5 linked regions of the Rattus norvegicus genome follow. The protein of the gene in region 4 interacts with the protein of the main gene of each other region in a pairwise test. Links are inferred from orthologs where the notes say so. Each region holds a gene or a part of one and is shown on either strand. Other genes may lie near its edges.

What was found.
Region 1: the proteins of Tsc22d4 (region 4) and Nrbp1 interact in binary tests that used the Homo sapiens proteins (3 or more experiments, as listed by UniProt). The link is inferred for Rattus norvegicus from reciprocal best matches to the Homo sapiens genes TSC22D4 and NRBP1.
Region 2: the proteins of Tsc22d4 (region 4) and Tex11 interact in a two-hybrid assay, tested with the Homo sapiens proteins (2 studies listed by BioGRID and IntAct). The two-hybrid records come from large-scale screens. The link is inferred for Rattus norvegicus from reciprocal best matches to the Homo sapiens genes TSC22D4 and TEX11.
Region 3: the proteins of Tsc22d4 (region 4) and Mad2l1 interact in binary tests that used the Homo sapiens proteins (3 or more experiments, as listed by UniProt). The two-hybrid records come from large-scale screens. The link is inferred for Rattus norvegicus from reciprocal best matches to the Homo sapiens genes TSC22D4 and MAD2L1.
Region 5: the proteins of Tsc22d4 (region 4) and Zmynd10 interact in binary tests that used the Homo sapiens proteins (3 or more experiments, as listed by UniProt). The two-hybrid records come from large-scale screens. The link is inferred for Rattus norvegicus from reciprocal best matches to the Homo sapiens genes TSC22D4 and ZMYND10.

What each region holds. Positions count from the first base shown.
Region 1 is NC_086024.1:30,850,220-30,854,602, reverse strand, and holds the start of Nrbp1 (nuclear receptor-binding protein), read left to right. Parts: upstream 1-1,494; 5' UTR 1,495-1,559; intron 1,560-4,229; 5' UTR 4,230-4,248; coding exon 4,249-4,383. UniProt on the Homo sapiens protein: Required for embryonic development. Plays a role in intestinal epithelial cell fate and proliferation, thereby involved in the architectural development of the intestine potentially via the regulation of Wnt-responsive genes.
Region 2 is NC_086039.1:70,233,543-70,238,051, forward strand, and holds the start of Tex11 (testis-expressed protein 11), read right to left. Parts: upstream 3,003-4,509; 5' UTR 2,293-3,002; intron 2,197-2,292; 5' UTR 2,175-2,196; coding exon 2,135-2,174; intron 1-2,134. UniProt on the Homo sapiens protein: Regulator of crossing-over during meiosis. Involved in initiation and/or maintenance of chromosome synapsis and formation of crossovers.
Region 3 is NC_086022.1:97,235,071-97,239,485, forward strand, and holds the start of Mad2l1 (mitotic spindle assembly checkpoint protein MAD2A), read left to right. Parts: upstream 1-1,438; 5' UTR 1,439-1,552; coding exon 1,553-1,625; intron 1,626-1,969; coding exon 1,970-2,116; intron 2,117-4,178; coding exon 4,179-4,299; intron 4,300-4,415. UniProt on the Homo sapiens protein: Component of the spindle-assembly checkpoint that prevents the onset of anaphase until all chromosomes are properly aligned at the metaphase plate.
Region 4 is NC_086030.1:24,575,290-24,578,861, reverse strand, and holds the end of Tsc22d4 (TSC22 domain family protein 4), read left to right. Parts: intron 1-1,830; coding exon 1,831-1,879; intron 1,880-2,217; coding exon 2,218-2,427; 3' UTR 2,428-2,914; downstream 2,915-3,572.
Region 5 is NC_086026.1:117,101,658-117,103,929, forward strand, and holds the end of Zmynd10 (zinc finger MYND domain-containing protein 10), read left to right. Parts: intron 1-276; coding exon 277-449; intron 450-656; exon of another isoform or gene 657-688; coding exon 689-814; intron 815-896; coding exon 897-1,018; intron 1,019-1,134; coding exon 1,135-1,260; intron 1,261-1,350; coding exon 1,351-1,426; 3' UTR 1,427-1,730; downstream 1,731-2,272. Other genes in the region: Rassf1 (ras association domain-containing protein 1), read left to right, coding at 2,023-2,272. UniProt on the Homo sapiens protein: Plays a role in axonemal structure organization and motility. Involved in axonemal pre-assembly of inner and outer dynein arms (IDA and ODA, respectively) for proper axoneme building for cilia motility.

The sequences.
Region 1 (4,383 bases), on a different chromosome or scaffold from region 4:
AAGGTTGGTAGTGCTGACAGAAACTAATGGGAACTAAAGTAGCATGAACAGATATGTACTGAATGCTTGCTGTGGTTCAAGAGTTTTTATTGCTTTGGTGCCCAGGAGGCCGAAAGATTAATCTGGAGAGGAAGAGCATCATTTAAGACTAGAACAAACTTTGAAATGTCGTGCTATACATTATAGGTAAGTGCATCTCTTAATCCAACAGCAGAATTCTATTTTGTCTTTGTACAGTTGCGCTATTGCTTGTGCTGATCATGAACTCATGGCATTAGCCTTCGGAGTGATAGGATTACCGTATTCGACACTATGCTGGGTGAACAAAAAAGGTTGGCTTTTGTTTTTGAGACAGGGTTCCACTATGTAGCCCTCCCTGGTTGGCCTCGAATTCACAGAGATCTGTCTGGCATGCTTGTTGAAATTTTGTTTTTTAAAGCAAGCATTTTAAAAGTGAAGATAGAAAAAAATGAGTCTCTACAGGATTTCCATCTGAACCGGTGAACTAGGACTAATTAGTCCCCTTTCAGGACAGTAACGTTGTTGATTGTGGCACTCAGATTCAGATGATTCATCCTTCTTCCTTGATAATACATAGATAATGGCAGCATGAATTTTCATCCCTTAGATTTTGCCTTTAACTTTCCAAGATCAATGGCTTAACCCAAAATCTATTGTAATTATAACTCACAACCAATGTAAATTCTTTCCAAATACTTTTTCAAGGACAGTTTTTTTTTTTTTTTTGGTTCTTTTTTTCGGAACTGGGGACCGAACCCAGGGCCTTGCGCTTCCTAGGTAAGCGCTCTACCACTGAGCTAAATCCCCAGCCCCACAAGGACAGTTTTGATGGATCTTCTTACTTCGGATTCTATTTTGGGCTCATGCCAATTTAAATTTGAGTAACTTTTTTTTGTTTCATTTTCGCATTTGACAACTATCATTGATTAATTTCAATGAGTTCTCCCTTATGAGGGTCGAATCTGGTTATATGTTTAGGTAAATAATGTTATGCAAATCAGCAACTATTAGGTTTCATGTTAAGCGATTAAAAAAAGAAAAGCTTTCTGAAAATTTGATGACCCATGAACTGTCTCTTTCCCAAATGGGGAATGTGGGTGGGTTCATCCCTCGGATTGAGGCTGCGTCTTCCGTTCCTTTTGTCTTTTCGGAGGATTATGACTGTCATGGCGCTTTCAAGGAGAGAGAGGCCTTCCTTTCGTCCGGCAGAATTACTTGGGAGCACCTCGACTGGGCGGAGGATGGACAGAGAGACATGAAGACAACGCTGGCAAGCTGTCCGCCAGAGCCCTGCAAGGGAGGAGACGCGGCAGGAGACTGCCCTGAGAGCGCCTGTCTGTGGGAACCGCCCCCCGCTGCCCTGTCCAATGGAAACCTGGCGGCGGTGCGGCACCGCCCACTGTTGGTCCGGACGCCGCGAGGGCGGGGCCCGCAGTTCGGTTGCGCTGCGGAGCGCAGCTGTGAGGGAGTCGCTGCGATCCGAGGCCCCGGAACCCGAGCTGGAGCTGAAGCGCAGGCTGCGGGCGCGGAGTCGGGAGGTGAGCTCCGGAGAAAGAGGCCCTGGAGGGAGGGGCTCGCGGAAGGGCGGCAGGATCACCGGGTGCCGCGGGCCGGCGGGCCGCGGCCGGCGGGTGCTGTCCGGCGGCCCTGCTCTCTCGGGAGTCAGGCCCGACCTAGCCCGGCCCGTCGCAGCTGAGGGGCCACCTTGGCCCCAGGGCGCCGCCCGCCCTCCTGGTGTCTCCGGCGTGGCCGCGGCGGCCCGGAATTCTGCGGGCGCGGGTCGGGGGGCCCCGGCGTTCTCTTGGAACTCTGGCCGCGAGAGGCGGGGCAGGCGGCGCGGGCGGGGGCGGGGCGGGGGCGGGGCGGGGGCCCCTGCCCGAGGACCTGCGGAAGGAAGCGCGGCGTCCGGGCCCGGCCTGCTCGCGGGGCGGTGCGCCGAGCGCGGGGGCGTGGTCTGCGGCCTGACGGCGCGGCTAGGCTGGCCTTTGATGAGGTGGCTGTGGTGCTCAGTCTCCTGGCCGGCCACTGTCTGCTCGCTACCGCTTCCTTCCAAATACTGGCCGGGCGACCTGTTGACATGCTGAGGGCCTCCTGCCTCCGAGCTTGCTTTCTCTCCGACCGAGCAGTTCTGCTGACCTCAGAGGCTCTCTGGGTTTCCTCAGAGCGGCCTGTGGCTGCGAGCTATGCGGGGTGACGTGCAGAGGGCTTTCAACTAATAATGGAAGCCGAGAGAACAACTTTGCGAGAGATGACAGACAATGCCCTGGAGTGAATGTACTATGCACCCTCAGGGTAGCTAGAGGCTTCGAGGAGATTGCCCTCACCAATGTAAATGAGCTTTTCCATGTGTGATCCCTGTTAAAACTACCAGCAGCTCTGAGGCAGAACCCCCAGTGTTGCACAAGTTTCTGCATCTGTTGCGGGAGTGCTTGGAGATCTTTAGGCACTGCTCTTATTTTACCTCCTGGGACATGATTGGGGAGGGAAATGTACCTTCTGGGCATTTGTCGCTGGTGACAGTTCATCCTCTCTCCCAAGTGCAGTGTGAAGGGGCTGTCTGTGAACTTGGTCCAGTAGTTTTAGATTCCATAGGCTACAGCTTTGACATTCTAGAGTATCTTCTGTTGTATCTTGCTAGAATTTCACTTATCAGTTCAGATTGGAGGCACATCGTGTGAATGTAGCTGAAACAGACTTTATTTTCTTAGCTCCTTGATACAGACTTTATTTTCTTAGCTCCTTGATAGGGGAAGGAGGAAAAAGTGATCCTTAACTCATCTTTTTTTATTGGTTTATTAAGACATGCACGAAAATAATAGCTGTTTTGGCATACAGAGGAGACTTTCTAGGGTAGGCAAGGACTTTCCTTAGAAATTTAAAGTGGGGAAGTAGCCTACTAGATTTTTTTTCCTCCTGTAGTGCTGTGTTCTTTGAGTTTACTAGAACGTTAATACAAATCTCCCGATTCAGGTAAAACAGTATAGGCTGGAGAGAAATGTGTAGAAAGGGGCATCAGAGAGTTGTATGGCCATGTTGGTGTTGATTGCAGGTTTCAGATATTCTGAATTGACTTTGGAGTGCAAGTTTACTTTCCAGGGTATTGATTTTTTTATTAGGCAGCGCTTCCTTGAGCTAATCACACATAGGTTTCAGGTTTTTTTTTAATAGTCTCTATTCATTTGATTGTCCTATTATTATTATTATTATTATTATTATTATTATTATTATATGGGTTAATTAGAAACTTAGGTTTTTCTTAAAGCAACTCTGCCCCTGTAGAAATGTTATTGTTTAACACTTTGCTTATAAAAGCTATAGCTTGAATTATTTGTTCTGGAAAGAAGTAGCTGGTATCAGATCTAGTGCCTCAGAGATTGGGGAAGTCAAAGCCTTTGAGCAATGTAAATGAAAGGAAAGCTGGAAACATAAGGCTTTTGATTTTCTTTCTGAATTTGTGCTTAATTAAGTGCAGGCATTTCATTTATTTTAATTCACTGATCTCTCAAGCACCCTCCCATTCTGTGACCTATAGTAACCTACAAGTGTTACTAAACATTTAAGTGAGTAAATGAAAAGAAATGCTGTTAAACAGTACCCACTTGCCACATTCACACATCATGAGGAAGGTGAGGTCATTAGAGAAGGAAGTCATACCTGCCAGTCGCCTGGCCCAAAGGCAGTTTCTACCTATGTATAGGAAAAGTGGGTAATGCCACTGTTGGTTCTAGTAGAATAAGTCACCCTTGGGAGTTTTGGCCTGTTGGTTAAGGAAGATGTAGGCCCATAGGGCTGTCTGTCTCAGTGGAACATTCTAGAGTCGTATGCTCTGAGTAATGCCTGTACACCCTAGTTCTTAAGCACAGTGAAGATCGAGGCCCATGGAGAGCCAATGGGAAATATATTAATTGCAACACTATTTGCTGAGCAGGAGTGGGGTACCAGATTTTACCGTATATTTGGGTTTGACTAAAGTGGACTATATTGTCATTCATCTCATGTGCAGCACTTCGGGTGATCTTCAGTTAACTCCTCTTCTAGAAGCCAGAGAGTCATTCACATTTCAGTATTTAGGTAGGAGGAGATCTGATTTTAGATTTAAAGGAAACAAGGGAGATGTATTTTTTGAGGCTGAAGATGAAGTTAAGACTATTAAAGTTTTATACGTCTGTTTTTGACCTTTGTCTTCTGACTCTGCCCAACAAATGCAGGCTGAGTGTTCATTCCAGCATGTCGGAAGGGGAGTCCCAAACAGTAGTCAGCAGTGGCTCAGACCCAAAGGTAGAATCCTCATCTTCAGCTCCTGGCCTGACTTCTGTATCACCTCCTGTGACCTCTACAACTTCAGCTGCTTCTCCGGAGGAA
Region 2 (4,509 bases), on a different chromosome or scaffold from region 4:
CCAGGACTTTCGATATAGACTGGGCTAGCCTCACAGAGATCTGCCTGCCTCTGCCACCCAAGTGCTGGGATTAACCATCTGTTGCAGAAAACCTGACACCTTCTTCTGACCACTGCAGACATCAGGCACACAGGCGGTGCACAGACAGACATGCAGTCAAAATACCCTTGCATATAAAATAAAAATAAATGAATCTTTTTTAAAAAATTAATTTCATCTAATTCCTTATGCAGTCTAATGTGTCTACTAGAATATTTTAAATTAAATATGTAGCTCATTAATTTCTACTAGACAGGGCTGGTATTGACTACAACTATATTCAAGATTTTTTATACATTTTTGGCAGTTTCATTATATATGCTAAGTGGGCCTCAAATTCACTACGTAGTTCAGGATACCCTTAAACTCACAATCCTCCTGTGTTAGCCTCTGGGTGCTGAGATTACACACCCAGCTCTATTTTCTGAAGACTTTATGGAATAAACAATCATAAATATATCAGTAAAAGAAAATCTAAACTCGGATATTAAAATAAGTTACAAGGGCATTTATATAACAACAAACTGAAGAAGCTAAAAATCCAAAGAAAGGAAAATAAGAATTTGTCTCCAAATTAACCATAGGAAAAGGTGTTATGTGAAGCGTGGCAATGCTGTTTGCTTACTCGAGGCATGGTGTCATTATACTGCCTCAAACTAGCCTCCTATCTTGCAGGAATTACTTGTGTGTGTGTGTGTGCGCGCGCGCGCGTGTGCGCGCGCGCGCGTGTGCGCGCGCGCGCTTACCACACACATGCACATAACATGTCACCAGTATAGAGGACAGAAGACAATCGTCCAGATCTGCTTCTCTCCTTCCACCATATGGGTCTCAGTGATCAACTCAGGTCATCAGCCTTGGGGGCAAGCATCTTTACTGGCTAAGCCATCTCACCTGCCCTTACAGTGATTTTTTAAAACAATAAATAAATTTTAAATTTCTTAAAGATAAACTTTTTTATCGCCCTGATGTTGAATGGCTTGTGGATGACAGCAGTTTTCTGAAAAAATCATTTTTACAAGCAGAACATACCGTGCTGAGTTGTCTTGATACTACAGAAGCCAATGTACTCCTTCAAACCCCTGCCCTAGAGGCAAGCTAACTGCCCTTATGTAGGCCTTACTATTAGGACAAGATAAAATGTGAACCAGCCACATGGTCTCCAAGAATAAATTTATAGTATTACATGCCCATCTGCTTGCAACAACTTTTTAAATGTACTTTTAACATAGTACTTTTCAGGTTAAACAGTATAATTCTGCATCTCCTAAAATACCTGGGAAAAGCTATAGATTATGACCAGAAAATAAGCTGTGGATTGTGAATTTTGTTTCCTTACACTAGTTCATAAAAAGTTCCAAATATTATTTCTGGTACATAAATGAGAAAAACTGGAGCACTGAATACTCTGAAAAGAAACTTAAGAGACAAACCTGCATGTGTACCTCTGAAGTGCTGGACCCCCAACCCAGGGCTTCACATGTGGAAGGCAAACACTGCCTCGGAGCTACCTCCCAGCTTGTTTTCTTTTTGTTTTGCTTTGTGAAACAATATTTGAGGTATTTCTCCAGCCTCAGTGTTACAAATGTTGGGAGTATATGTCAGGTGCGGTGTTTGACACCTGCACTCTGGAAGCTGACCTAGGAAGATTGCGAATTTGAGGATAGCCTGAGCTACATAAAGTTCTGAGTCAGAGAGAGGGGCTCTTCTGGCCTCTTTGGCCTTGGAGGTAGAAGCAACATGACAAAAGAACACCGTCGTCTGGAAAGCGTCCCAATAAGATGCACACATTGTACCACACACATTGTACCACCGGCCGCTGTGGCTCTAAGAACTACCACTTTCAGAAGTTGGTCTGTGGCAAATGTGGCTACCCTGCCAAGCTCAAGAGAAAGAATAACTGGAGTGCCAAGGCTAAGAGACAAAATACCACCAGGACTGGGTGGATGTGGCACCTAAAAATTGTCTGGACGATTCAGACATGGATTCCGTGAAGGAACAACACCTAAAATCCAAAAGAGCAGCTGATGCAGCAACCACGATTGAGAATTTCAGTCAGCCATAAAATAACTGTTACCATGCAAAGCTTGGTTACCTTTAAAGTCCATGATGCTAAGGTCAGCAATGCCATCCATGTATTAAATGTCCGGATCCAGCCTATTGAACAAGAAAATATTTTAATACTCCACCCTTTATTCTCTAATTTCTTAAAAAGACACTTTTTTCCAGACAACTATGCCCATTACATATTACCTAAAAGTACAGGGAAGTTGAGGAAGCTGAAAATCCAGGAGAAACGTTGTTAAGGAGAGAGGTTTCTGCTGTCCCGCAACCGAAAAGCTTGCTCGTCTCTGGCGGCCCAACGGCCCAAGGCCGGAAGGCGAGGTTCAGGGCTCTGTCACAGCTAGTCATGTTCTGTGATTGGTCTGTCCCGCACACACTGCCCCGCCCTCTTTATGCAAATAGATTGAGTCATACTTTGTGATTGGTCTGTTTCGGTGTTCAAACACTCTCGTGCATATCCCATCGGCCCCCTCGCTCTTGGCTGCGTTTTTTGGCGCCTTTTTCCCGCTCTACGTGGCCTTCCACTAACGGTCGCTGAGCTGAATTGGCGCTGCTTAGCCCTCCTTCCCCTACCCACAAACCTCTCGTTCTGAAGATATTACCTCAGAGCATCTCTAAGAAGTATTGTCAAATGTCTGTTTCTTCTTGGTAGTTCTAAACCCTGGGCTGCAGATGCGGGGCCCTGAGTTCGATAATACACACATATATACATAAACACACGTAATAAACAAGATGAAAGAAAAGACTGGACCACTTCCTATCCACTAAACCTCTCGCCCGCTGAAACTACAGCCTTTAAATGTGCCTCACACGCTCCTCAGGAGAGCAAAGCTCCTTCCCCTCTATTACATCATCAAAAACCACTCCCAATTGTCCTTTACGATATATTGATTCTCTGCCTTGGAATCCTGTCTAAATTCTCTACACTGGATGAAACCAGAACGAGACTTATCAGGACAAGGTCTAGACGTAAGAACAGAAGTGGACTACCATTCAAAGGAAGGACAGATGGCCAGGATTATAGAAAAACAAGAACAAGAATTCACTCATACACACGCTACAAAAACAGTGTACACAGAGCTACTCAGTGTTTCAAACTGGCAAGGTATCCCAGCACAGTAGCACAGGCTACTAGTGTCACCAGTCAGAGGCTAAAGCAAGAGAATCCCTTGAGTCAAGGCATTCTAGATCGCCTGGGAAGCATAGTAAAACCCCAGCAAAGAAATAAATAAATAGTGTCAAAATTCGGAAAAAGAAGAAATTGTGCACTCGAGGCAGGGAGGCTAACCGCAGACCTTCATATCTCCCTCCATGCCTGAGTCCCAATCCCCAAGTCTCATCCCCAGTTCGTAGAGTCTCATCCCCAGTTCGTAGCAGACCCACCTGCCGCTGTCTCTCCTTACTCTCTACCTCCCTCCCCCTTCCCAAGGGACTAAACAGATCCCCATGGAAAACCAAGCTTTCATCCTGCGGACAGCTTCACCCTGCCCTCCTACCCATCCCTTTCCCTAAATGTCAGCACCTAGAAAAAACGTTTTGCCTGGAATCACCGTGGACTTCCCTATGAGGCAACACAGAACCACCACGCTCTCCTAAGAACCACAGAGGGTAACAGAAACCCAAGACAAGACCAGAGATCAGCACCGATGTAACTGCTTGTATTACTGAGATGGGTAGGCTGATTCCATGACAGGCTCCTATCCCAGAATTCCCCTAACGTGCTTTAAATCAGGCCTGTGAGCTTACTTCTGGGTCTTTCTATCTTGGTAATGGGAGACTCCAGCATGCTGGACTTCTGCAGGATAAGAGCATTTACATACTATTTGAGTCTGGGTATCATCCTTCAGTGAATCATGAACCCTTATTTTGCGAATCCTAATTATGTTCCCCCAAAAAACTGTTTTCACTAGAGGGTCTACACATAGCTTCTGGGAACCTGTCCGGAGCTGGTTCTGATTGGTAAATAAACATGCCAGAAGCCAGTAGCTGGGAAGGACAGACAGAGGCGGGATTCTAGGATTCCCCCAGCTTGAGACTGGGAGGAGAAGAAAAGAGATCCACCATACTTTAGAAGAGTGTGACGAGAGGACAGAGTCTGCCATGGAGTAGAAAGGCAAGGAGAACACCCCGGCTCTGGGCCAAGAAAAACGTGACCCAGACGGCTGACTAATTGGAGTTAGAGCAGCCAAGACTGAATATAGAAATGAGTAAGTAGTAACTCGGAATTATCGGCGGGAGCTAGATTCTAGCAGCATAGATGCAGTCACCCAGCTATCGTGCTGCTTAAGGCATGTTAAAAGGCTCTGTGTGTGTGTGTGTGTGTGTGTGTGTGTGACTGTGATGGTGGTGGTAGTGGTGTGTGTGTGTGTGTATGTGAGTGTGGTGGTGGTGGTAGTGGTGTGTGTG
Region 3 (4,415 bases), on a different chromosome or scaffold from region 4:
TTCAAACATTCTTTCCCTAAACAATGCATAGCAAGAGTTTACAAAATTGTGAGGCAAAGTAAATTCGAGAAACTGAGTTTTCAAGTATTTTATAGTATTGCTTTTGATAAAAGGGGAGGGAGGTAATGTTAAACCAAGTGGCCAAAAGTTAATAGGTAAGACCATCGAAGATTCCAGATTTTTTTATGTTACTGTGATAAATTAGATTAAGTCCAAACACACTTGGGAAGAAAGAGCTTGGTACCTCAGTTTTATCTATGCCACCATTTCATTCTTCCTCGTATGTCACAATTTCTTTCTCTGATGTATCCCTTATACAACCTCCCTGGCATCTATTTAATTCAGGCTCTAAACTTCTTAAACCTGCACATTACAGTATTTCTAATAGTCAACTGGTTTCAAAATGCAGTCTGAGTACCAGCATTAGAAGCATTTAGGATACTTGGAAGATGTGCTATCTCCTGGACCCAATACACTGTACAATATAAAAACTGTCACATGAATCTCATGTATAATCTTATATGCTCAGGTATAGGCCTTAAATACTCAAAAAGAAACATATGACTAAAAGACTTAAAAGCAGGCTAATTGCAAAGAAAGGAAATCAAGAAGCCCTATCATTTAAATCTGATGTGAACTTATAAAATGTATGTAGTAATAGAAAACTAAAGACATTTCTAAATGATTATTACAGTGTGTGTCTGTGTGTTTGTGTATGTGCATGCGCGCGCGCGCGCGCGCGCGCGCGCGTGTGTGTGTGTGTGTGTGTGTGTGTGCATGTGCCTTGCCTCTCTCCTCCAGACATGTTGCAGACTTGGTGACAAGCATCTTTACTCACTAAGCTTCTGTTCGACCTAGTTCCCCTCATCTTATTTCTCCAGAAAAGTTGCATTTACACACACACACACACACACACACACACACACACACACACACACACACAAAACAAACAAAAAAAAAAATTAGGCTCTCCCAGACTTGAAACTATGCTCAAAGCTGAGCCTGTGCTTCAGGGATGCTCAGACCACGGGTGTGGCAGGTAGGTAACCCCACTACCATCTCAGATCCTCTTCTAGGCCACCTTATCAGAGGTCCCGCCCACTAAGGACCCTCCTGGGTACCAGGAACTGGAACCATACGCCCGAACCACTCTACGCCTGCGCATTCGGTCTGCCAGAGAGGGTGGAGCCAGGGCCGGATACAAGTCGCTTTGGGCGGGACTTAGGGTCAGCTCATCTGCGGTGCAACTGGGCTTACGGCGGAAGTAGCGTTATGGAGCGAAATGTTGAAAAGAGACCCGGTTCCCTAATGTGGGAGGGGCTTAGAAAAAACCGGAAGCATGAGGCGGGCTCAGGAAGGGATTCCGAGTTAAAAGACAGGGTTGGGGCCGGAAACTGGCGACGTAGGTGGGGTTTAAGGCTCGTTGCGCCTGCGCACAGAGCGACCGGCGGGATTCGTAGTTACTTTTGAACCGGGTGGCGGGGAATAGCTAGAGGAGCCATTAGGGCGCCATCTACGGAGGGGTTGACAGTGTTCTCCGTTCGATCTAGTGATGGCACAGCAGCTCGCCCGGGACCAAGGCATCACCCTGCGTGGGAGCGCAGAAATCGTCGCCGAGTTTTTTTGTGAGTGCTGAGCGCGGACCCTGCAGCCAAAGATAAGCTGCCTGGGCCGGGCCTTAGGACGTGTGCTAGAGCGGAACCACCGGATCCTCCCGGGGGCGGGGAACGCAGGCCTGTGCCTCCTGGAATGAAACGGGGCTGGCCTGGGGCATCATCTCACTCGCTCTTTGAAAGCTGGTGGTCTGCGTTGACATCTGAACCACATACTCTGTGTTTACATTTAGCGACCCGGTGAAATTCGACATTGCTGGGTTAAAGGTTTTCCGTGTTGTTTTGTCCCTACTCTGATTTCTGGAAGAGTTTAAAACGTTAATACATGTTTATGGCTTTATTTCTTTCGCTTTCAGCATTTGGCATCAACAGCATTTTGTATCAGCGTGGCATTTATCCGTCGGAAACCTTTACTCGAGTGCAGAAATATGGACTCACCTTGCTTGTAACTACTGACCCCGAGCTCATAAAGTATCTCAATAATGTGGTAGAGCAGCTAAAAGGTAATCACGTTTTGAGTTTTACACCTTACAAGTTTGCATTTGTAAGTGTCCCAAGTAGCTTAAAGCAACAGGCCTTCTCAAATGTGATTCTGAATTGGGAGAAAGCAAGTGATGGAGGGAATTTCCACCTCTTCTGTTTTTTAAGTAGGCTGAATGTCTTGATGTTAGGCATCTTAGAAAAGCTGCTTTAGAAATGGGTTTTATAGGTTAACCAGGTGCAACAAATTGGAAATTTTACCCAATTAAAATGATCTCATCTTTCTGTGTTTTGCTCTGTATCTCCCAATGTAATCTTACAAAATACCAATTCTAAAAGCATTGCAACTACCCTTTTTTCCCCTTTGAGTTTTATGTGTATGGGTGGTTGGTTTGTTTTAATTGTTTTCATTATAGTATTTGTTGCCTTTTTGTTAACTTCAGCATTAAAATGGCCTTTTGGTGACCACCTGAACATGGTTAACTTAACAACTCTCTTTAAGGCCGTTTTGTTTTGTTTTGCTTTTGAGATAGGTCTCTATAGCTCTGGCTGTCCTTGAACTTGCGATGTAGACCAGATTGAACTCAGAAAGATCAGCCTGGGTCTACCCCCTCCGAGTTCTGGGACTAAAAGGCATTTGCCACCGTGCCCAGCTTAAGGCCATACTTTTAAACATTCCTTGCAATTCGTATCCATAATAGAGTATCCATCAACACTTGTGCAAGTTGGGTATGAATTCACAGGCAAAAGAGGTAGGGTTTTTAAGCATAAGATCTGCTTTGAATTCTGGTGTCTGGATCGATCCTCTTTTAATCCCCTTCAGTTCACTTACTACCAAGGATGATAGTTTAAAAACACAAGGCTAATTGGTCATGCTGCTTAAAACACAGTTGTGGCTTTCCTAATTCTTAAAAGTATAGTTTCATTAATTTAACACTTAAGATTTTGTGTAGCATCTTGATTTTTCATAATTCTGTAATTAATTGACTTTATTAAAAAGCATGTACTTTGCAATAGTCTGCATACATATACATACATACATAGATACATATGCACGCCCTTGCCATTTAAAGCCTGTATTTGCCTCTCCTTTGTACATTTAATGTAAAAACAAATCCTTCCCTCACCTACCAGAGTAGTGAGATTTTTCTTGTGCTCTTATACTATCGCTCTGTTCTGACCAGCCACCACAGATGTGACTGGCAGTGGTTAGATTAAAGCCTATGTCCTATGTTCTTTCTGTGAATCGCAGTGAAGTACAAGTTCACGGCTCCGTGATGCACTGGCTTCCACCTACTAGTAATGTGGAGAATTTAAAACTTGATTAAATTGTTAGTGAAGAATTTTCTTCCTTGTGTATGAAAGGAAGGCAAAATACCACTGTGAGGATTTTGTAGGCGGGAAAGTGGGTCTTGAGCAGAGCGTCTCTGCCATAGGTTAGAGAGTAAGAGCTGCCTTGTGTGAGTCTCTGCCATAGCTTAGAGAGTAAGAGCTGCCTTGTGGGAGTGTCTGCCATAGCTTAGAGAGTAAGAGCTGTCTTGTGTGTGTCTCTGCCATAGCTTAGAGTGTAAGAGCTGCCTTGTGTGAGTCCCTGCCATAGGTTAGAGAGTAAGAGCTGCCTTGTGGGGAGTCTCTGCCATAGGTTAGAGAGTAAGAGCTGCCTTGTGTGAGTCTCTGCCATAGCTTAGAGAGTAAGAGCTGCCTTGTGTGAGTCTCTGCCATAGGTTAGAGTGTAAGAGCTGCCTTGTGGGAGTCTCTGCCATAGCTTAGAGTGTAAGAGCTGCCTTGTGTGAGTCCCTGCCATAGGTTAGAGTGTAAGAGCTGCCTTGTGGGAGTCTCTGCCATAGCTTAGAGTGTAAGAGCTGCCTTGTGGGAGTCTCTGCCATAGCTTAGAGTGTAAGAGCTGCCTTGTGTGAGTCTCTGCCATAGCTTAGAGAGTAAGAGCTGCCTTGTGGGAGTCTCTGCCATAGGTTAGAGAGTAAGAGCTGCCTTGTGGGAGTGTCTGCCATAGCTTAGAGTGTAAGAGCTGCCTTGTGGGAGTCTCTGCCATAGCTTAGAGTGTAAGAGCTGCCTTGTGTGTTGCAGAGTGGTTGTACAAGTGCTCCGTTCAGAAACTGGTAGTGGTCATCTCGAATATTGAAAGTGGCGAGGTCCTTGAAAGATGGCAGTTTGATATTGAGTGTGACAAAACGGCCAAAGAAGAAGGGTAAGTATGAACTGAATTGTTCCTGCTTTAATTTGCTTTTGTAATTTCTGTTGCTGCATGAGTTCACATTGTATTGAACTGATATCTTCCAGTTACTGTCTAGGGTATGTTTTTAA
Region 4 (3,572 bases):
TCTCCCCTCTAACCTCTCTGCTCCCCACCTCCATTCTTAAGCATCTCCCGTGTTCCCTGGCTTTGGAGGCCCGCCCCCCCGCCCCGTGTCCTTACTCACTGATATCCTGCTCTTTCTAGCCCGTTCACCTCCTTGGTGGCTCTACCTGTCAGCACCTCCTGCATCCAGATCTTGGCCAGGGAATGGAAAATTCCCAGCTCCCTTTCTGATGGCCGGGCCTCATGCAAGGGTCACCTTGGACTGAGTATAGATTCCCCCTGTAGGAAAGCAGGTTGAAGTTGACAGCCAGTGGGGAGGGATTACAAAAGTGACAGCAGTGTATGAATGGAGCCAAGTGGCACCCTGACTGGGGGGGGGGGGGCGGTGGTGAGGGGAGGGACGACACAGGGCTGGAGACCCTGGTGTCCTTGGGGAAAGCAGAAAGGAAGCTTAGGTAACCGAAACAAAAGCCTGCCTCCTCTGGTCCGGCAGCCAAAGGGAAGACATTGCAGCCTGGGGCAGGCAAGGAGACCCTAGAAAGTCCTGAGTGAGCAGAGGGGCTTGAGTAAGAAGCAGATTCTCTAACCTGGTGCCAGTCAGGAGCCTGAGCCCTGGGGCATTTGAGCCAGGCGTGAGTTGCCCTCTGGTGGCCACTGCTCAAAACTGCAGCCAGGCCTGCCCCTTAACTGGGTCATTACCTGACTACTGATTTAAAGTCTCTGCGTCTCTGTCCAGTGTCCCATGTTCAGCCGTACCTTTTTTTTTTCTTCCTTTTCTTAAGCTCTGACTCACTGCAAGACCTCCATACCCAGGTCTCAGGTCCCGTATGTGGCTGCCTTTGATTTATAGGGTTCCTAATATGGTGGTGGGGTTCTGTTGCTATGGTAACCTTTCCTAATTCTCTCCTTCATTGAAGTGGGGGACCCTCTGTCCCACGTTTTAAGAGCCACCTAAGATACATATATTTCTACCCTGCCCCCTTTGTCTGTCCCCTTTCTCAAAGTTGAGGGAGACCATGGTTAATCCAGACAGGGCAGAAAGGGAGGCATAGGTTGGGGACATGCGTCCTAGGGTCTCACCTTCAAGCCCCTCCCCATGCCAGCCTTCTTGCTTCACAGCCCCTCCCCCAACCCTTACCAGCTGACTTCACCTCCCCTTCCCCTCCAGTCTGGGAGTGGTGCCAGGGTGAGAAGGGGACACTGGCACAGACCATGTGTGTCTGGGAATTCCCGCCCACTGTGGAGCCAAGGGAGGGGGTCCCCGTGTCCCCGAGGAGCCAATGGCAGCTGTGCCTTGCCCTGAGGGGGAGGGCAGGGTGTATATCTCTCAGAGCAGCAGTCTGTAGGTCCGGTCTCCTCTCTGCCTGCTTGGCATCCATTGCAGAACTCTACTGTGCCCAGGGGGGCTCTGGGCCCCCCAGGCATTCTGCCTGTCACAGCCTTTTGGTTGGGAGTGGATACTGATGACCCTTACCTCAGGAATGTCCCAGCCAGGGGTCTCTGTGAAGTCCTTGGTATCATCTTATGAGACTCGAGTGGTAGGGATGGCACAAGGGACACCCCGAAAAAGGGGCTGCGTGTCTTCCCCATGCTCCCCACGGGGGTCATCCCCAATCCGAGGGCCGTCGGGACCTCCTTCCCACCAGGGCCTGGGGGGGCCTGGGCACCGACCTTCATCCCGCTGTGGGGTGGACAAAAGCCTCCTACCTCTCATCGTCTACTGCCACAGGTACTTGGGTGGGGTGGGCATAGGCTGGGCTTTTAGAGCAGGGAGCACCAGAAGACTGTAGCAGAGTTGACTTGGGGTTCCTCCTCAACTTGTATCCCCACCCCCACCCCCATGTCTCTCCAGTGGTTCCGGAAGCCTGGTTGGCATTGACAACAAGATTGAACAAGCCATGGTAAGAGAAGATGCTTGGCCCCAGGAGGCCCCTTAGTGTCCCTAGCACCTCTCCCCTCCCATTACTTGGGAATGAAAATTTTCCAGTTAGTTACAGACACCCCCCCTCTCTGCTTCTACTTTTCTACCTTTGGCTTCCCTCAACCTCTGCTCATCCCTGTCTGTGAGCCCTGTCCCTCATCCTTTGCCTGCTGCCCCGTTTCTCCTTTAACCTCCATCCCCCCTCCTTTGAGCAAAGGGAGATGGGTATCATAACCACTTCCTTGAGGTGCCTGGGTTGGGAGAGGCAGTTGGAGGTGGCCTGAGGGGCCTGAAGGTTTGTTTGTCCCTGGGGTCCAGGACTTGGTGAAGTCCCACCTCATGTTTGCCGTGCGAGAGGAGGTGGAGGTGCTGAAGGAGCAGATCCGGGACCTGGCAGAGCGGAATGCTGCACTGGAGCAGGAAAATGGATTGCTGCGTGCCCTGGCCAGCCCGGAGCAGCTGGCCCAGCTGCCATCCTCGGGGCTCCCAAGGCTCGGGCCCTCTGCACCCAATGGGCCTTCCATCTGAGCCTTCTTTCCCTCACAATGTGCCTTTGGGGGCTGCCACTGGCCGCCGGGCCTTGTGCCAGCAGCCTGCCCCCTCTTCCTATGTAGCTTTAATGCCCACGCCCGACCCCAATGCCCAGGGATGGGAGTTGAGGCTAAATATTGGCCTGTCCCTTCCCACCTGGTCTCCCCAGAAGCCTCAGGCCTTGCCGGAAGAGAAAGAACCCAGGAGGGGATGTTTATCTGAAGCCCCTCATCCATGAAAGAACCCAGCCCCACCTCCTTCCCTGGGAATCAGTGTTCTGGGGAGCCCCTCAGCAGCAGATGGCTCAGAAAGATTTGGAGGTTCCCTGGCAGGCCCCCTCACCATCCCACCTTGTTCTCTTCAAGTGCCCCCTCTCCTCTGCCCAGGGAGGGGGTATGGACAGTATCTTCAACTTCTTGGATTCAGGTTGTTATTAAAATAATAATTATAATTAAAAAAAAATCTGAAGAAACTTGAATATGGAGGTTGGTGTGCTGTTGCCGTGTCCAGCTATATAGTTACCCTGTCCCCAACACACACTCTCATCACGCTCATGTGGGTACACACACAGCGAATCCCAGTCACCCTGGAGAAGATACCAGAAAATGGCTTGGTAATGGTCTTGGTCCCTGGAAAGGCCTGGCAGGGTGACCTAAGGAAAGAGGTAGGGGGCGGTGTCTACCCATGTGCTGGTGGTTGGCGGTGTGAGGAGGGGAGATAACAATGGAGTCTTTGGTGAGTGTGAGGATCCACCCCCAGCTTCCCAGTGTGTCCCCTCTTGTGGACTGGATCTGGGCGGCTGCTTGGAGGCAGGGCAGGGAACCCTGAATGGGCCCCTTGTCTTAAGGCTGGGTGTGGGCCAGGCTCTTTGGGCACATGGTGCCCTCGCCAGGCCTGGCAGGCTGCCTTGGCTTCTACCCCACCCCTTGCTGGATGAGGACTAGGCCCAGTGGGTGAGCAGGCTCCTCCCTGACAGCCTGGGCTTCTCTCCCAGACAGACAGAACCAGCCAAGAAGGGCCCCATCTAGTGGGGGGGAAGGCATCAGCAGTTAGAACTTTGAGGGAGAATGTCTTGTCTCTGGGCATCAGAGAGGAACTCCTAGCAGAGTTTTAAGTCTTTGGTCCAACCAACCAGATTGGAC
Region 5 (2,272 bases), on a different chromosome or scaffold from region 4:
GATTTTGACTCTGAGGCAGGCAAGGCCTCTGAGTCATTTATTGAAAATCAACCTTGTTCTGACAAATCTGGTGGTCCAGGCTTTCAAACGATGCCAGGTAAGGACAACACACTCTCTTTTTTTTTTCTTTTTTCTTTCTTTCTTTTTTTTTCCGGTGCTGGGGACCAAACCCAGGGCCTTGCGCTTGCTAAGCAAGCGTTCTACCACTGAGCTAAATCCCCAACCCCAGGACGACACACTCTCAAAGTGAACACAACACCTCATTCTCCTCCCCAGGCAAGCTGCAGCATTTTGAGAGTGGCCGATGGCAGACAGTGGCCCCCTCAGAGCATCAAAAGCTGAACAAACTGGATGGGCAAGTATGGATCGCCTTGTACAATCTACTGCTCAGTCCTGAGGCCCGAACCCGTTACTGCCTTACAAACTTTGCCAAGGGACAGCTGCTTAAGGTGGAGAACTCAAAGACCCTACCCATCCCCACTGTGCCCCGCCCAGCCCCGCCCCGCCCCGCCCCCATAGCATCCCTGTCTGTCCCCGCCCTCTTTCCACCACTTGGGCTTCAGAGGACAAGGGAGTTGGAAAGATGCAAACCCTCCCAAGTACTCTCAGCCCCAACTTCAGGACTTCCTGTCTTTGGGCCCTCTGGCTAGGAACAGTTTCCCAATGGCCTTCCCTGGATACCTTGCAGCTTCAGGCCTTCCTCACCGACACACTGCTTGACCAGCTGCCCAACCTTGCTGATCTGAAGAGTTTCCTGGCCCACCTGGCCCTGGTTGAAACTCAACCCCCTAAGAAGGACCTAGTGTTAGAACAGGTGAGCCCCTAGAAATTGAGTGCTTGGGACCACGGTCCACTTTTCTGGTTCCTTCCTTCCTATCTCCATTACACTCTTTTAGATCCCAGAAATCTGGGATCGGCTGGAGCGAGAGAACAAAGGCAAGTGGCAGGCTATCGCCAAGCACCAGCTTCAGCACGTATTCAGCCTCTCCGAGAAGGATCTTCGCCAACAAGCACAGAGGTAAAGTCCCGCTAAGCGGCTCAAGTCACGTGCACAGGACGAAGAAGGGAAGGTCACGAGGGTTTCTGTGCTCCAACCTGCCAGGTCCATTCAGATCTTCTTGACTCCTCCCCCAGGTGGGCTGAAACCTACAGGCTGGACGTCCTAGAGGCTGTAGCTCCGGAGAGGCCCCGCTGTGCCTACTGCAGTGCCGAGGCCTCCAAGCGCTGCTCCAGATGCCAGAAAGTGTGGTATTGCTGCAGGTGAGAAGATCCTGGGACCTTAGTTTCCCCCTAAGCTCCAACCCTGGGTCTTCCCACGAGCCCATTGTCATGCAACCCACCTCGCTGCAGGGAGTGTCAAGTCAAGCACTGGGAGAAGCACGGAAAGACGTGTGTTCTAGCAGCCCAGGGTGACAGAGCCAAGTGAAGGCCAGTAGCTGCTGAGGGCCGACAGAAGAGTGCACCCAGAATGTGACTCTGAGCTTCAGGGACTCTTGCCTGGCCCCTGTCAGACCTCAATTTCCCTGGTTGAGGAGCACAGCTGAGTCAAGAAGAGCTGCAAACCACTACACAGAAGCGAAGGCTCTTCACTTCCTGCCCCACCCAGCAAATACGTAGAGGACCAGGCCACAGCATCAGCAAACTAGCAGACAGGGTTGGGGGGTTGTGAGCAAGGGCCGGATGTGGAGACCCTCTTCCTTTCTCACAATAAAGCAGACTCATGAAACGCATCAGTGTGGCGCTTGATAGTCATCCTTGGGGGCGGGGGAGAAGGGGCGATGGGGCGAAGACTGGAAGGAAAGACTGGGAAGGGGCTCTTTGAAAGGGCCCACCCCTGTGCTGTGCCCCGCCCACAAGTCCACACGGTCGGCTAGCCTGGGTTTCCAGCGCGTCCTCCTCGGCTCTTTCCCGCCGCCCTGCCTTGATCCTGGGGGCGGTGCCGAAGTCGCGGCCCGCCCTGCGGCCTCGCCCGCTACGAACTCACTAGCTGCTAGTCCGCTACAGCACCGGCCTGACCGGGCCATGTCGGCGGAGCCAGAACTCATTGAACTACGAGAGTTGGCACCGTCCGGGCGCATCGGTCCAGGCCGTACCCGGCTGGAGCGTGCCAACGCTCTGCGCATCGCGCCGGGCACAACACGCAATCCGTCACAGCAGCACGTCCCGGGTCGTGGCCACCGCTTCCAGCCTGCAGGGCCCACCACGCACACGTGGTGCGACCTCTGTGGAGACTTCATCTGGGGCGTCGTGCGCAAAGGCCTACAGTGCGCGC